3 linked regions of the Coturnix japonica genome follow. The protein of the gene in region 1 purifies or fractionates together with the protein of each later gene. This does not show direct contact. Links are inferred from orthologs where the notes say so. Each region holds a gene or a part of one and is shown in the gene's direction. Other genes may lie near its edges.

Evidence for each region. The genes of interacting proteins can lie anywhere in the genome.
Region 2: the proteins of PAK2 (region 1) and GIT2 purify together in Homo sapiens (affinity purification with mass spectrometry; 3 studies listed by BioGRID and IntAct, with this or other methods). This does not show direct contact. The link is inferred for Coturnix japonica from reciprocal best matches to the Homo sapiens genes PAK2 and GIT2.
Region 3: the proteins of PAK2 (region 1) and GIT1 purify together in Homo sapiens (affinity purification with mass spectrometry; 5 studies listed by BioGRID and IntAct, with this or other methods). This does not show direct contact. The link is inferred for Coturnix japonica from reciprocal best matches to the Homo sapiens genes PAK2 and GIT1.

What each region holds. Positions count from the first base shown.
Region 1 is NC_029524.1:3,560,507-3,565,221, reverse strand, and holds the start of PAK2 (serine/threonine-protein kinase PAK 2), read left to right. Parts: upstream 1-1,848; 5' UTR 1,849-2,013; intron 2,014-2,248; exon of another isoform or gene 2,249-2,380; intron 2,381-4,715. Other genes in the region: PIGX (phosphatidylinositol-glycan biosynthesis class X protein), read left to right, coding at 74-174, 563-721. UniProt on the Homo sapiens protein: Serine/threonine protein kinase that plays a role in a variety of different signaling pathways including cytoskeleton regulation, cell motility, cell cycle progression, apoptosis or proliferation.
Region 2 is NC_029530.1:6,002,631-6,006,994, reverse strand, and holds the start of GIT2 (ARF GTPase-activating protein GIT2), read left to right. Parts: upstream 1-1,498; 5' UTR 1,499-1,595; coding exon 1,596-1,647; intron 1,648-3,819; coding exon 3,820-3,953; intron 3,954-4,304; coding exon 4,305-4,364. Other genes in the region: ANKRD13A (ankyrin repeat domain-containing protein 13A), read right to left, coding at 293-371, 1,030-1,181. UniProt on the Homo sapiens protein: GTPase-activating protein for ADP ribosylation factor family members, including ARF1.
Region 3 is NC_029534.1:4,843,401-4,847,987, reverse strand, and holds the start of GIT1 (ARF GTPase-activating protein GIT1), read left to right. Parts: upstream 1-1,721; 5' UTR 1,722-1,833; coding exon 1,834-1,885; intron 1,886-4,060; coding exon 4,061-4,194; intron 4,195-4,266; coding exon 4,267-4,379; intron 4,380-4,466; coding exon 4,467-4,572; intron 4,573-4,587. Other genes in the region: ANKRD13B (ankyrin repeat domain-containing protein 13B), read right to left, coding at 76-186. UniProt on the Homo sapiens protein: GTPase-activating protein for ADP ribosylation factor family members, including ARF1.

The sequences.
Region 1 (4,715 bases):
ATTCTTTGTCCCATTGAAGACAGCCCATGGGTGAGATTCATCCTTAGTTATCTACTGTACCTGTCTTCCATAGAGCATCTGTCTCCAGATTGCTGGCAGCCTGCTGACGTGGAAGCTCCCTGTCCAGGGAATAAGGACCGACTCTGTCAGTGGTACGGAGCAACACACCAACCCGTGAGTTCCTATTTCAGAAGGAAGTTCTGGCTTCTTGCTTAACAAACATTGCCTTTTTCTGAGATAAGCAGCTTCCAGATCACAGACCTACCTGATAAAAGCCTCATTGTGTGACTTCTTATAGAGGCAGTTGAGTTGGAATCCTAGAATCGACAGTGCTGTAATTGGCACGACTTGAATAAAGAAAGGCCTCTGCAGTGTAGCTGGCTCTCTGCAAGGGCAGTAAATTGAAAGGCTGTGTCCCATCTCAGCTTTCTTTTGGGATTCAAGATCAAGCCTTAGCAAAGGGCAAGTTAAATAGCAGCCTAGTTACCCATCCCCTGAATTGCAGCTAAAAAACCAACAAAAGCTGGTTAAGTGTGTATAACCAATTTACTTTTCCTTGTAGGAGAGTGAAGAACTGATTCTGCGTGTCCCGGTGGGGCTCACACAACACAGTGTCTTAGTGTGTGTCGTGACTCTTCTTGCCACCGTGCTCTGTTCCAGCTTGATTCTCACTGCTGTTTGCAGATATGGAGACTTCTCTCTGGTGACCTGCTTGGAATAAAGACGTGCAAAATGACTGAGCTCCAGATGTTACTGTTATTCACATCTTGGCAATGCATGAGGGTGCCCTCATGGACTGTAGTACAAAGGCAGCAGCAGTCAGGAGCAGAATGTGACTCCTATTCCTTACCCTAAACCTCAGCCTGGTCTAGCTTTGGGCTTTGGCTGGTGCTTTTCCTCACAGAGGTGTTTGTATTTCTTGAATTTAAATGAACAGACTTGACAAGTGGGTGTTAATGGTATGAAAAACATCCTTCAATCTCGTTTATGCTGCCCAGATGGGTTATGTGTGGATTTGGGAAGAGACATTCTTTGCTTACTTGTCACAGTAGAAGGCTTAAAAACCAATGGGTACAGCCCTGTAGTAAGTGGGGGGGGGGATTAGTTTCTCTTGCTTTGAACCGAAGGATTTGAGAGCTTAGAAAATCTGAAGGGAATTTCACCCTATATCTGAAGCTCAAATAACCCTTGGAAGATGAAAGCTGGTGAAAAGATACAAACTAGAAGCAAATATTTATAAGGCTCGAATTCAGCCCTCAGAGCGGTTGATAAATACAAGGAAATATGGAGAGGAAATTACTTAATGGAAAAACTGAGTTGCTCGAGATGAACAGTCGCTGTTTCCAGTCGTCAGTAGGTGGCACTGTGACCTTACAGCAGCTCAGGGGCTGCTGATGGACAAAATGCCCTTCCTTATAAGCTCAGTTAGTTAAAAGCGGCTGGTTTTCAAAGTCCATCTTCCTTCCTACGCAGCCAGGACTGTTCCCCAGCAGAATGAGCCTTTCATGGCTGTCCAGCTGTAGCTTCATGATCCCCTGGGCATCCTTTGCTTCTGGCATTCAATAGAGCTCGTCTTGTGACTGTGCCCACCACAGGTTGGCAACTGCTCTGACAGAGGGCTCTTGTTTTCCCCCGGCTGTGCTGAATGCTGCTGGCTGCTTCATCCACTACCTCAGCGGCGCCATCTGTGTGGTGGAAGGGGGCTCTTTAACCCCATGGTGTGACGGCGTTGCTCCCACTGTGTCCGCCGTTCCGAGGCCTCTTTCCCGCCCGTGGCAGCGCTTCCCGTGGTTCCCCGCTCTGCCGGGTGCTGCCGGGACCCGTAGTCCCGGTGGCGGCGCCCCGCCCTCCCGGGCTGTGGCCACGCGCGGCGGTTCCGCTTCCCCCTCCGGCTCCTGCCGCCGCCGTCTCGGTGGGTGCCGCCGCCGCCATTGCAGAGGCGCCGTGTGGCGGCCGCGCCCCAGCTGCCCCGTTCGGCCCGTCCCGGAGGCGGCCGGCGCCGCCCCAGCCCCGGTGAGTGCGCGGTCGCGGCCCGCTCCCACCTGCCGCCCTTTGTGGGCCCTCCCGGCCGGGCCTGCGGCGGGGCGGCGGCCGGGCGGCGCCTGGCGGGGCGGCCCCGAGGGTACGGAGCTGTGGGGAGGGACGGGGGGAACGGGGACGGGCGGGACGGGCCGAGCAGCCTCGGGGCCGTGAGGGGGAACGGCGGGCGGCCGAGACACCGAGAGTCGGCCCGGGGTGGTGCGGGAAGGCGGCGGGATGCGATGAGATCGTGCCGTGAGATCGTGCCGTGAGCCCTTAGCCCGGGCGGCCATCGAAAACGGGAAGCGATCCGATGTGCGCTTCCTTTCTGCTGCGGATGGAGGTGGCCCAGCGCTGCGGGGTGAGGGCTCCGCGTGTGGGCTGCTGTGACGGGCTGGGAAACTGAAAGAGAACACAGGAGCTAAAAACGTGAAGCCTTTGTGAGCTTTCAAGCGCTCACATCGACACACCTGAGGAAAAAACTCAGCGAGAAACGTTTTAGAGGAAGAAAGAGCTTTGATGTGGAGCTCGGTGCTGCTGTGCGTGAAGCCCGGACCTAAGAAGTGCTGGGTTAACATCCTCTGTGTGTGTGGAAGTGTGGCGATTAAAAACGTTGGGCTACGAAATGGACAAGGAAAGAAACGTCCGTCAGCTTCAGGCTGAGGGCTTTGAACTGTTGGTAGCACAGTGAGGTGGGGGCAGGAGGCTCATGCTGCTCCGGGTTGGGCTCAGTGCTGACCCAGTGCTCAGCCCATGGGGGGTTTGCTGCACTGACACCTGCTGCTGTGTCCTCTGGGCTGGTGCTGCAGTGTGTGGGGGAATGCTTTGACCATGTATGGCGGGTCTCATCTTGGGCATCTTTTAAAATGTGGCCCTTTAAAACCACCATTGTGCTTATTTCATTGGAGCCTTTCAGTTAGGTTTAAAAGAGAAAAATCTTCAAGCCCGTTTGGTTTCTGACTGATCCTAGGAGAAGTGGTAAGGGTATCCATGCTTCTGTTCTGTCTTTGCGCTGATAGGAGAGCTGCAGGGATCGGGAAGAAGGTCAAAGTGTTTTATTACCAAGACTCCTCCTGCTTTAGCGTTCCTGTATCAGTCTTGTACGTTTCACCTTTAATCTGTTTTCTGCATTAGGAGGTTTCTGAGGCGCTAAGAGCTCCGTGAGACTTCTGTGCCAGCGTTTCCTGCAGCAGCTCCCCTTACTGACGTGCCTGTGTAGCCACAACAGAGCAAAAGTTACTTTGCTTTGAAAACAGGGTACTCGGGGAGATGCTGCTTGAACTGGCTGGGCCTGGTGGTAAACGTGAGCAGCATTAAGGCTCTGGGGGCCGGCATGTGGGATATAGGAGGGAAGCTCTAAAGGTGAGTTGACTTAGCGAGGTTTTGGGGGTAGAAGGTAGTGATGGAGAGCTTCTACAGGTGATGTTTTATATGATCAGCTGAGCACCTGCACACCAGGCTGGGTCTCAGAAAGGATGAAGTCCTCTTCATGCAGCTCCTGGCCCAGGGCTGGATTGATTCTGCATCCCAGCAAGGTCAGCCTGGGGGGAAACAGCTTTTCCTGCGAGGAAGCGTGGTTTCATGTCAATTCATGCTGTGGTCTCATGGGAAATCAGGTGCTTTATTTCTTGCATTCCGATTGACTAGTGGACAACTGCTGCTTAGAACGTGTTTTTTGATGAACACACCTTACCAGGGGTGTGTAGTGTTACTCCTAGTGAGCATGGAGAGCTTTATGTAATAGATAAGGTCACTGTTTCCTATAAGATGTAAGGGCAGCATCAGTGTTGGTGTAGTGACTGAGGATGGTAAATAGAGCAGTTGTGTTTAAGTTTATTCACAAGCATCAGTCGATGTTAAGCTCTGAAGGAGGGCATGTCTCCTGCACCTGTGGGATTGGGTGAAGGTGATGTGTTCCCTTGGCAGGTTTCTGGAAGCTCAGATATCAGAAAGCCCAGTTATTGTTCAGTCCACAATCATTAGGGCTCATCTGCTGTAGCTGGCCAGTATGGGAACTGGTAGCCCTGTCTTCATGGCAAGCTGGTCCAAAGCAGCGTGTGTGAACCAGCAGCAGGACAGCAGGCAGGTGGATTAAGAGCTGGGGATACACTGGCAAGTCTTTCCAATTCAGCTTCTACCTTTTTTCCTTGCTGCTTGTTTTGGTGCTGGTGCCAGGTATTTGTTTGACTCATCGTGTGCTCCCAGGAGTTTACAACTGTCAGCATACAAAGACTTTCCAGAGCTTCTTTCATGAGTAAAGTCAAAGCTTTGCCCGGTCCTGTGAGTTTTGTTTTGGAAATAAATGTGATGCTTTCTACTCTTAACTTATGCTCACTGTTCATTTACAGTCTTTGCAGAAGTGCTTTTATCAACAGGGTTATCTTCCAAACAAGAGAGAGAAAAGACTGTTTCTGGCAGATGCTTTCTAAGTGACTTTACTGTTGAAGCTCCTGCTTCCTGGAGAGGTTTCGGATAGGGAAAGAGCCTGGATGAATGGGAACGAGAGTATCTTTCCTCTAAGCCCATCTCCTGCAAAATGCCATCCTCTCGTCTGAGAGTTTGGATCTCACTTATGCTGAAGTCAGACCAAAGTTGGCCAGGCAGTGGTTTGCTGGAAGGGACTGAGCTGAAAGTCTTCTATCTGTTATCTGCTCGTTTAAAAGAAAACACAAGAAAACCAATTAATGAATTCATTC
Region 2 (4,364 bases), on another chromosome or scaffold:
ACTCCAGCCAGTATAAAACTGCTGCCTCTAAGCACTGCTGGTCAGCAGCAAGCTGCATCCTGCCCTCATCTCTAGCAGCAGCAGCGCTGCACTCTGATTTTCCATTAAAGCAAGCTCTGTTTGCTGCTTCTTTTTGCTCAGATAAACAGTGAAAGTCCATCACATCCCTATACCTTCTTACCTCACTCTCAAACCCACAAACAGACAGGTGCAGAAGGAAAACAGTCCCACCAGCCTGGCACAGACCCGGGGCACAGCCAAGGCTCTCTCTGCCCAGGAAGGCAGCAGTTACCTGTTCTTGCAGCTCTTCATCCAACCGCTGGTAATCATTATTCCAAACCAGGACATGCAGGGGGTACGCAGCGCTGGCCCTGCCGGGGGAACTCATCATGCCACGCACCTGCAGGAGCAGGGGAAGCAGGCAGCCTGCCCTCACCACCCCCTGCTTTGTTTAGGGGCACCCCATGCAAAATCCCACACCCTGGGGGGGGGGGCTGCTCCTACTGACCCCCTCAGACCTCTATCCCCCCCCCCCCCCCCCCCCCCCCCCCCCCCCCCCCCCCCCCCCCCCCCCCCCCAAACCACCATCCCTATGGCCTCCCTCAAGTCTCTGCTCCCCTTTAATCCCCTTTAGGCTTCAGCTTCTGCCCCCCACCCCTCATCCCTATGGCCATCCCCTCTCTCAGACCCACATACCTATAGCTCTCCTTGAATCCCCCACTCCTGCCCCCCCCCGTTTCCTCAGGCCCTTGTTTTTGGAGTCCCCTTTATTCTCCTATATCTGGGGTCCCTTTTACACCTCAGCTTCTGCCTTCCCCCCCCTCTTTCTTCCCCCTTCCCCCCCAGGTCCCTCAGCCTTAGGGCTCTGCTCCCACCCCCCTCTGTCCCCATTCCTGGTGCCCTCCCTAAGACCCTCACTCCTATTCCCCACCCTTATCCCTCAGTCTCCAGCTCCCAGTGCCCTGCTCCCCCCATCCTTAGGCCCCACCTCACACCCCAGCCCCTTTCCCACCCAAGCCGTCTCCTCACCCCCGTCCCTTGGCCCCTTCCTTTCCCTCCAGGGCAGCGGTAGGGCCGTCCCACAGCACGGCAGCTGCGTTCAATAGGGCCCCGTTCTCTCCCCGCTGCAGCCCACAGACCCTCACACAAGCGGAAGTCTCAATTCCCCGCTCTCCCCCCATTTATATACAGGGCGTCCTGCCCGCCGGCTCCTCCATCGCTTTACCTCTCAAGGGGGGGAACCTCTGAGCCGTAACACTGACGAGCCGCCCTGTTCTCACCATCCCCCCCCGCCTCTGGGCAGCGTTGGTTTCGCCCGCATGCTCTACCGCGGAAATACGGAAGACACGCAGCCATTGCGAGTGAGGGCAGTGTCTCTATTCGCCATTTTAAGTTAGGGCGATACGACGGCTACGGCAGCGCAGCTCCGCCTGGCTTCTCACGTTAGCGTAAAATGCTTCGTGAATAGCGAGCGGCGGCGTAGCGTGCGGTGCTGACGTACGCATGCGCACTACGCGCTCGGCTCGGCCGCCCGGCGGGGGCTGAGGCGGCCCCTTGAGCGCGGCAGGAAGCGGCCGGTCCCGATCCGAACAGCGATGTCGAAGCGGCTGAGGAGCAGCGAGGTGTGTGCGGACTGCAGTGCGCAGGGTAAGGCCGGAGGAACCGAGGGGAGAAGGGGGATAAAGGGGAAAGACGAGAGGAGGGGGCGGCAGGGCCCGTCCGCATCCCCACCCCCCTGCACTGAGGAGAGGAGGGCAGGTGCCGCTGTGTGGATGGGCGCTGTGCTGACAGGGGGTGTGGGGAATAAAGGTATAAAATGAGGGTCTAAAGTCCCTATTTCTGCTTATTTATAGTGCTGGTGTTCCTGTGTTAGAGACTGGTTTTTGTTTTGGGTGAACAAACCCAACTCCCTCAGCCTGTCCTCATAGGGGAGGTGCTCCAGCCCCCTGATCATCTTCCTGACCCTCCTCTGGACCCTTAACAAAATCTCCATGTCATTTTTGTACTGAGGGCTCTACACCTGGACACAGTACAACAGGGCAGCCAGCACACAGCAGGGTCACAGCTCTGTGTGTTGTTGGGTGCTGCATGACAGCGTCAGATCTGATGCTCATAGAGAAGCCTGCTGGTTTAGCCATGTGTGTAACAAAAGCTTAGTCCTTTCTTCACAAAACAACCCAAAAACCTGAACAAACCCCTTCTTTGATTGAAAGCAGAGTTTGTAGGGCTGGTAGGATCTTCTTCATTTGAGCCAGGTTGTCTTCTGGGGTTTCCCCCAACTTCTCTTTGCTTCTTTAGGACCACAAGTGGTCGTGCTGTGCTCAAGGAGAGTTTGACATGCTCTTTTCTGTTACACTTCCTATGCTGCTGGGGCAGGAGCTCACTTCTCGTACCCGCAGAGCACGCCTGTCCTTGCACGCTTCCTGTTTTGAAGCGCTCTGCCATGTTCCTGAAAGCAAACTTGAGAGATCTTTTGAGTATTTCTTGTGTTCCGCCATCAGTGTAAGTGTATTTGCGTTGCGTTTGTACCTGTATTGCCTTTAGAAACAGACTAAACTCCAACGCAGACATTTAACTTAAACCTGAAATAAGTCTTCCTATAACCTGACAGCCCTCTGTCATAACCAATATTGTTCCCTTTCCGGTCCCCATCCGTTACTTGAGAGCAAGTAACTGGCAGTGAGCCACGTCTGAACTGAATGGGAGCCCACAAATCTTCATGTACCTCAATTAAAACTCCACTTCTGATTAAACCACCGTGACTTTGAAAGCAGGTTGCAGCGCTGAGCTCCTGCTGCTGTTTGACCAGCCTTGTGTGGGAGCTCAGATTACCAGCCAGGCTTCTGCTTTGCTCTTCAGAGGGATGCTGAAGCTTCCATTCTGCTGTGGAATGATCAGATAAACAGGAGCTTGCTTTGCTGTAGCTGAACGGGGTTGGTTACGGTGCATATTGAACGAGCAGCTCGTGACTGAAACCAGGAACACAGTGGCTTTCAGAAGATCACGATGTATGAATGAGTGTATGATGATGTCTGTAATAAAAAGGGATGAGGCTCGTTAGTCTTGAAGGATGCCTCCAGCCTTGGCTCGTTGGGTTGGGGTTAACAAAGCTTGTTTTGTTGTTCTGTTTTTCTCTCTTAGAAGTGAAAGTTGTAAAAATAGTGGAATGGTTTAATAACAAGCACTCAAACTCCTCATTACTTTGTTTCTTAAATTAGATTAGGTTTTTTTTTTCCTACACCATGCACTTCAGTTTGGCTCTGGGCTATGTGATAGTTATCATCTACGAGTAGATGCTGCCTTCCCTTGTGAGCCGTGGGTTTGCCTGCGTTGCCTTCAGCACACACAGCATCAGCTCTGCTCAGAAACCACATCAGTGATCAGATCTCACGTTTCATGGATTCACTATATTTATTGCACGGGTCACAGCAGGATATTTGTGTGATGCACAATTGCTTAGATGTATTCTGACACGATGCAGAAGATCTCTCATCAGATACAGGCTTGTGTTGTATTCATTCAGCCTTAAACCCAGCTCTGGATTTGGAATTAAGTAGGTTTTCCAAAACAGAAGAGATTTTGAACTCCTTTTTCCTCCTGCACTGTGCCAGCTCTGACAATGTCTTGCTGCTCACTTTCCTTCCTGCAGGGTTCTTGGCCCACGGAGCCTCTTCTGTCACTGACAGAAACTGGATTTGCTTCTGAGAGCAGTAAATCTCAAGTTAAAACACTGAGTTCTAAAACACAAAGTCATTTTCCGCTCTGAAATAAGAAGCTGCCTTGCCTTCTGTGGTTGTAATAAATGTCTTCTTTTTTCAGATCCTTGTTGGGCATCCATAAACAGGGGAATTCTGATTTGCGATGAGTGCTGTAGCGTTCACCGGAGTTTGGGGCGTCATATCTCTCAAGTGAGACATCTCAAGCACACACCATGGCCTCCAACACTGCTGCAGGTAAAGACCAATGACATCTCCTCCTTTACTAAAGCTAGAATTTCTTTGTGGTGTTTCTATATATGTATATATATATCTGCTTCAACCTAAATATTCAGCATTGGTTTTGGTAGAGATGTTCATGTGGAAGGAGAGAGAATTTTAAGGGGGTTCATATTACATTCCACACAACAGTCTCCTAAACATCAGCTGGGCTTTGACACCCCAGTGGGTTTTAGGCACTGCTATACAGAATATGAGTCAGTGCCATCCTGCTGCTGGGTTCACAATACTCACAGCTCTCTGATGAGTCAATCTGTGCAGCTAGCAGCTAAGTTCTTCACTCCTGCCTGTATATATTTTGTATTTCAGATGGTTGAAACACTGTATAATAATGGTGCTAACTCCATTTGGGAACATTCGTTGCTGGAC
Region 3 (4,587 bases), on another chromosome or scaffold:
GCAGCCCAGCTCGCAGCGTTGCATCAGCCCGAACCGAACCGAACGGAACCGCACCGCTCCGCACCGCCGCCCCACCTGCTTGGCGCTGAGCTCCCGGTCCAGCTCCCGGGCTCGGTTGTGCCAGACGAGGTAATGCAGCGGGTATCTGCCCTCCGGCCCCTTCCTGCCCGAGCAAGACGCGAGCATCCTCCGTTCATGCTGGAGCGGCGGAGCGGGGCGCGGGGCGGAGCGGGGCGCGGGGCGGGGCGGAACGGGGCGCGGAGCGGGGCGGGGCGGTGGGGGGGGGGGGGTGGGTGGGAGCCGCCCGGACGGTCCCCCCCGCATCTTCCCCCCGCACCGCCCGGCCTCATGGGACTTGTAGTCACTGAGCGCGGCGTCGCCCCTTCCTCCTCCTCCTCCTCCTCCTCCTCCTTTTCCTCCCCGCACCCCCCGCCGGCCCTATGCCCCCCCCCATTGTATGGGGCTGTTCGGGGACGGCTCCGCAGCGCCCGAAGGCACAACCTGAATTCTTATCGCACCCCCCCGCTCTCCCCACCCACGGGCGCTCAACACGCAGCAGCGCGACCCCCGCGATGAGCCCGTGGGGTGCCGACCCCCCCCCGGCCCCATTTCCCTTTCCGCCCCCGTCCCTCCGCTCGTGTTTTCCGGCAGCCGCCAGAGAACAATGCGAGGTTGGGCCCCACGGCTGCCCCCCCCCCACCCTCCGACCCCTCCCCACGCCCCTATGGGGTTCCCGCGGGGTCACCCCGCTCCTTCCCCGCCCCTATGGTGGGCTGTGGCCGTGACGACCCCCCCCCAAAGGTCCCGCTGTCCCGTGACGTCACGGCCATGCAGCGGTGAGCTCAGCGCCGGGCGGGTGCAGCGTGACACGGCGCTGTGCCCCCAGCCCCGGGCGCTGATCGGGGTCCCCCGGGCTGGGGGTGGCGCCCCCCGACCCCATCTGACAACGGCACAGAGATGGGCACCCCCAGTATCAAACCCCCCCACACACACTATGCCAGGTTCAGCCATCGTGGGGGTGGGGGTCGGGGTGATTTGGGGCCTCGGGGGTGCGGGTGCAGGATGGGACCCTGGGCTGGGAATGGGGCTGGGGGCAGGGCCGGGGAGTGCATGGAATCAGAACCGGGACATGGGCTGGGTCAGAACCTGGAACGGGACACGGACCAAGGCTAAAACCAGAACCAATGGATGCCTAGAATGAGACCAACTCAGAACCAGGACCAAAATGAGAACCAGGCCCGGGTCCAGAGGATGCCCAGGATCCGGATCACTATCAGGACAAGAACCAGGGGTTGTCCAGGACAAAACCGGGACCAGGACAAGGTCCAAGACTAACCCAGGACCAAGACCAGGAGCAGGGAATACCCAAAAGCAGGACCAGAACAGAGGCAGGGAATGCCCAGGAACAGAACCAGGATGGGGACAAGAACAAGGAGACGCACAGAATCAGGACTAGAACCGGGACCAGAACCAGAGGATGACAGAGCCGGGATGAGGACGAGAACCAGCACCAGGACGGGCCCCGATCCGCCCCAAAGGGCCGCAGCTCCATCACCCGCTGCTGCTCAGGGCGCGCCGTGACTGCGCTGCGCTGCGCTGCGCTGCGCGGGGCGGGGGCGGTTCTGCTCCTCCTCCGCCGGGGCCGGGCCTGAGCCGCTTCCTGCGGAGCCGCCGGGGCTGCGAGCAGCCGGCAGGGCAGGCGGCAGGAGGGCGAGGCGGCCCCGAGCCCCGCCGCCCCCCCCCGACCCCTCCCCAACCCGACCCCCCCATCCCCCCCTTCCCCGGCCCCGCTCCGCGCTGGCGCAGAGACCCGGGCCCGGCTCGGCGCTGAGGATGTCCCGGAAGGCGCAGCGGGCGGAGGTGTGCGCGGACTGCAGTGCCGCAGGTAGGGAAGGGCCGCGCCCGGCCCCGTCGGCGTTATCCCCCCCCGACCCTCCTCCACGCGGGGCCGTTCGCAGTTCGGTTGTGCGTGTGCCTCCATCCCCTCCCCCCCAGCATCAGCACCTGGATGACGCCCCCCTCCCCCTTTGCTCTGGACCCCGCTGCCCCGCTCTGAACCCCCAGCTTTGTACCCGCGATACCCCGGTGCCTCCCTCCCCCCCCCGCACCCCCTATTTACCCCAGGGGTCCCAGTGACCCCCACCCTTCCTTCACACCCCGTGCTGAGACCCCAGGAGCCCAGGGTTCCCCCTGCATACCCTGCCGACTCCCTCTTTGCCCACAGCAACCCCACAACGTGCCCTAAATAAACCCCCCCCCCGTTCCCCCTGCAACCCTCGGTGCACCCCATTCCCCATCCCTTTGTACCCCTACTTTCCCTCTCGGCACCCAGCACTGTGCCCCCCGGTGCCCCTGTTCTGCACCCAGGAACCCTACAGTGAGCCCTAAAATGCCCCCTGTGCCCCCCAGACCCCTTGTTCTATCTCTTACAGCCCCTTGTTGCCCCCCATTACCCCCCACTCTTCACCCCCTACTTTACCCCCGGGTTCCCCTTTTACACCCCGCACTGGGAATCCCCGCTGCACCCCATTATCTCTATAACATACCCTAAAGATGGCTCCCCCCCCATATTGTGACCCCCAGACCCATCCCTGCGGCGCTGGGGGCAATGAATGAACGTTGAAAGCGGCTCAGAGCCCTGAGGATGGCGGCCACGTGCATGGGGGGCTGCGGGGTCACCCACTGCTGTGGGTCAGCCCCTGTTATAAGGTACCCGGCGGTGCCGAGGTTCCTATGGGGGAAATGGAAAGCTTTTTCTCCCAATCCCTTATCGCCCGGCGGCCATGGGAGGAAATGAGTTATAAAGTCCAGAGGCCGCTTCCGACATCGCGGGGCCGGGAGCAGCCGGTGTCGGGATGTGCGGGGTGCCCGGCTCCGGCATCGCCCCCGCGGCGCAGGGATGGAGTTTCCCATTGCTCCGGGTTATGGGGTAGCACCGTTCTGCTGTGCCCTCAGCCGCCCCGATCCCAATGAAGGAGGAAGGGGTGGCACTGCGAGGTGCTGTATGGGGTGCTGTATGGGGTCCTATATGGGATCCTATATGGGGTGCTATATGAGGTGCTATATGGGGTGCTATATGGGGTGCCCCCCCCCCGGCACGCAGCATCCTGTTCCCGGCAGCGCCCCGTGGGCCGCGGTGCGGAGGCGCAGATGCGGCGGTGCTGCTGCCAAGCGCTGCCATCTGCCCGGGCGGTGCTGCCAGGATTTGGGGGGGGGGACGACGACAACACTGCCTTGTGGCCGCTGCCGGCTGTGCCCCCCATATTAGAGGGGTCGGGGCTGCCTGGTGTGGGGCAGCAGTGGGGTTTTGGGGAGGGGGTGGGAAGGAAGCGCCGCACTGGGTGATGGGGGTGGGTCGCTGGTGGTGCTGCTGCCCCCTCCCACCCGCAGCCCTTCCTCCCGTGGGGCGGCGCGGTGTTTGTGTAGGCCCTATAGATGCACAACACTCCTCTGCTATGGCACAGGGACGCTGGGGACCGTATGGCCCACCCTGCCCCTGCCCCCTGTGGAGGGGGGGGTGGCACCCCATCTGTCCCCCATCCCTTCTGTTGGTGCCGGGGGATCTGGACCCATTGGGGTGCTGGCTGTGGGGAGCTGCCCCCAAAGAACGGTGGGGCCCCCGTGGCTGGAGCGGGGCCGGTGCCAGCACAGTGCTCAAACGTCCCTTTGTTCTCCTGGGGACACAAAGGGCTCCAGTGCGGCCGAGCGGGGCCGGGCAGGGGGCGTGGGGCTGCTGGGGGGGGCACAGCCACTGAGTCCGTGATGGCTGAGTGGGTGGGAGGGCACCCACCTGTATGGGGACACCCGCAGCACAGGGGACACAGCATCGGCACGTAAGGGTGTATTGCACAGTGCTGGCATCGCCCCCGCTGCTGTCAGCCCTTCTGATGAGGGGGCCAAATCCTGCCCCCCCCCCTTGGTTGCTAAGGGAACCCTTTGGGTTTCCCCTGGCGATGGGCTGAGCCCCTCTCCGTCACCCTGGAAACCGCCATGTTGCTACGGTGACGCTGCCCCCCCCCACACACAGCCCCCCCTACATAACACCCCACGCCCCCTGCAGACCCGGGCTGGGCCTCCATCAACCGCGGTGTGCTCATCTGCGACGAGTGCTGCAGCGTGCACCGCAGCCTGGGCCGCCACATCTCCATCGTCAAGCACCTGCGGCACAGCCCCTGGCCCGCCACGCTGCTGCAGGTGGGTGCACCCGGGGGGGGAGGTTACAAGGGGGGTGTCCCATCGGCTCACTGTGCCCCCCCCCATGCATAGATGGTGCACACCTTGGCCAGCAATGGGGCCAACTCCATCTGGGAGCACTCGCTGCTGGACCCGGCGCAGGTGCAGAGCGGGCGCAGGAAGGCAAATCCCCAGGATAAAGTGCAGTAAGTGAGGGCTGTGTGTGGGGATGGGGCTGTGGGGATGGGGGGAGCTGTGGTGGATGTCCCCCCCCCCTCACCCTGTGTCTCCAGCCCCACCAAGTCAGAGTTCATCCGCGCCAAGTACCAGATGTTGGCCTTCGTGCACAAGCTGCCGTGCCGGGATGATGATGGTGTCACCGCCAAGGACCTCAGCAAGGTGGGGGCACGGTGT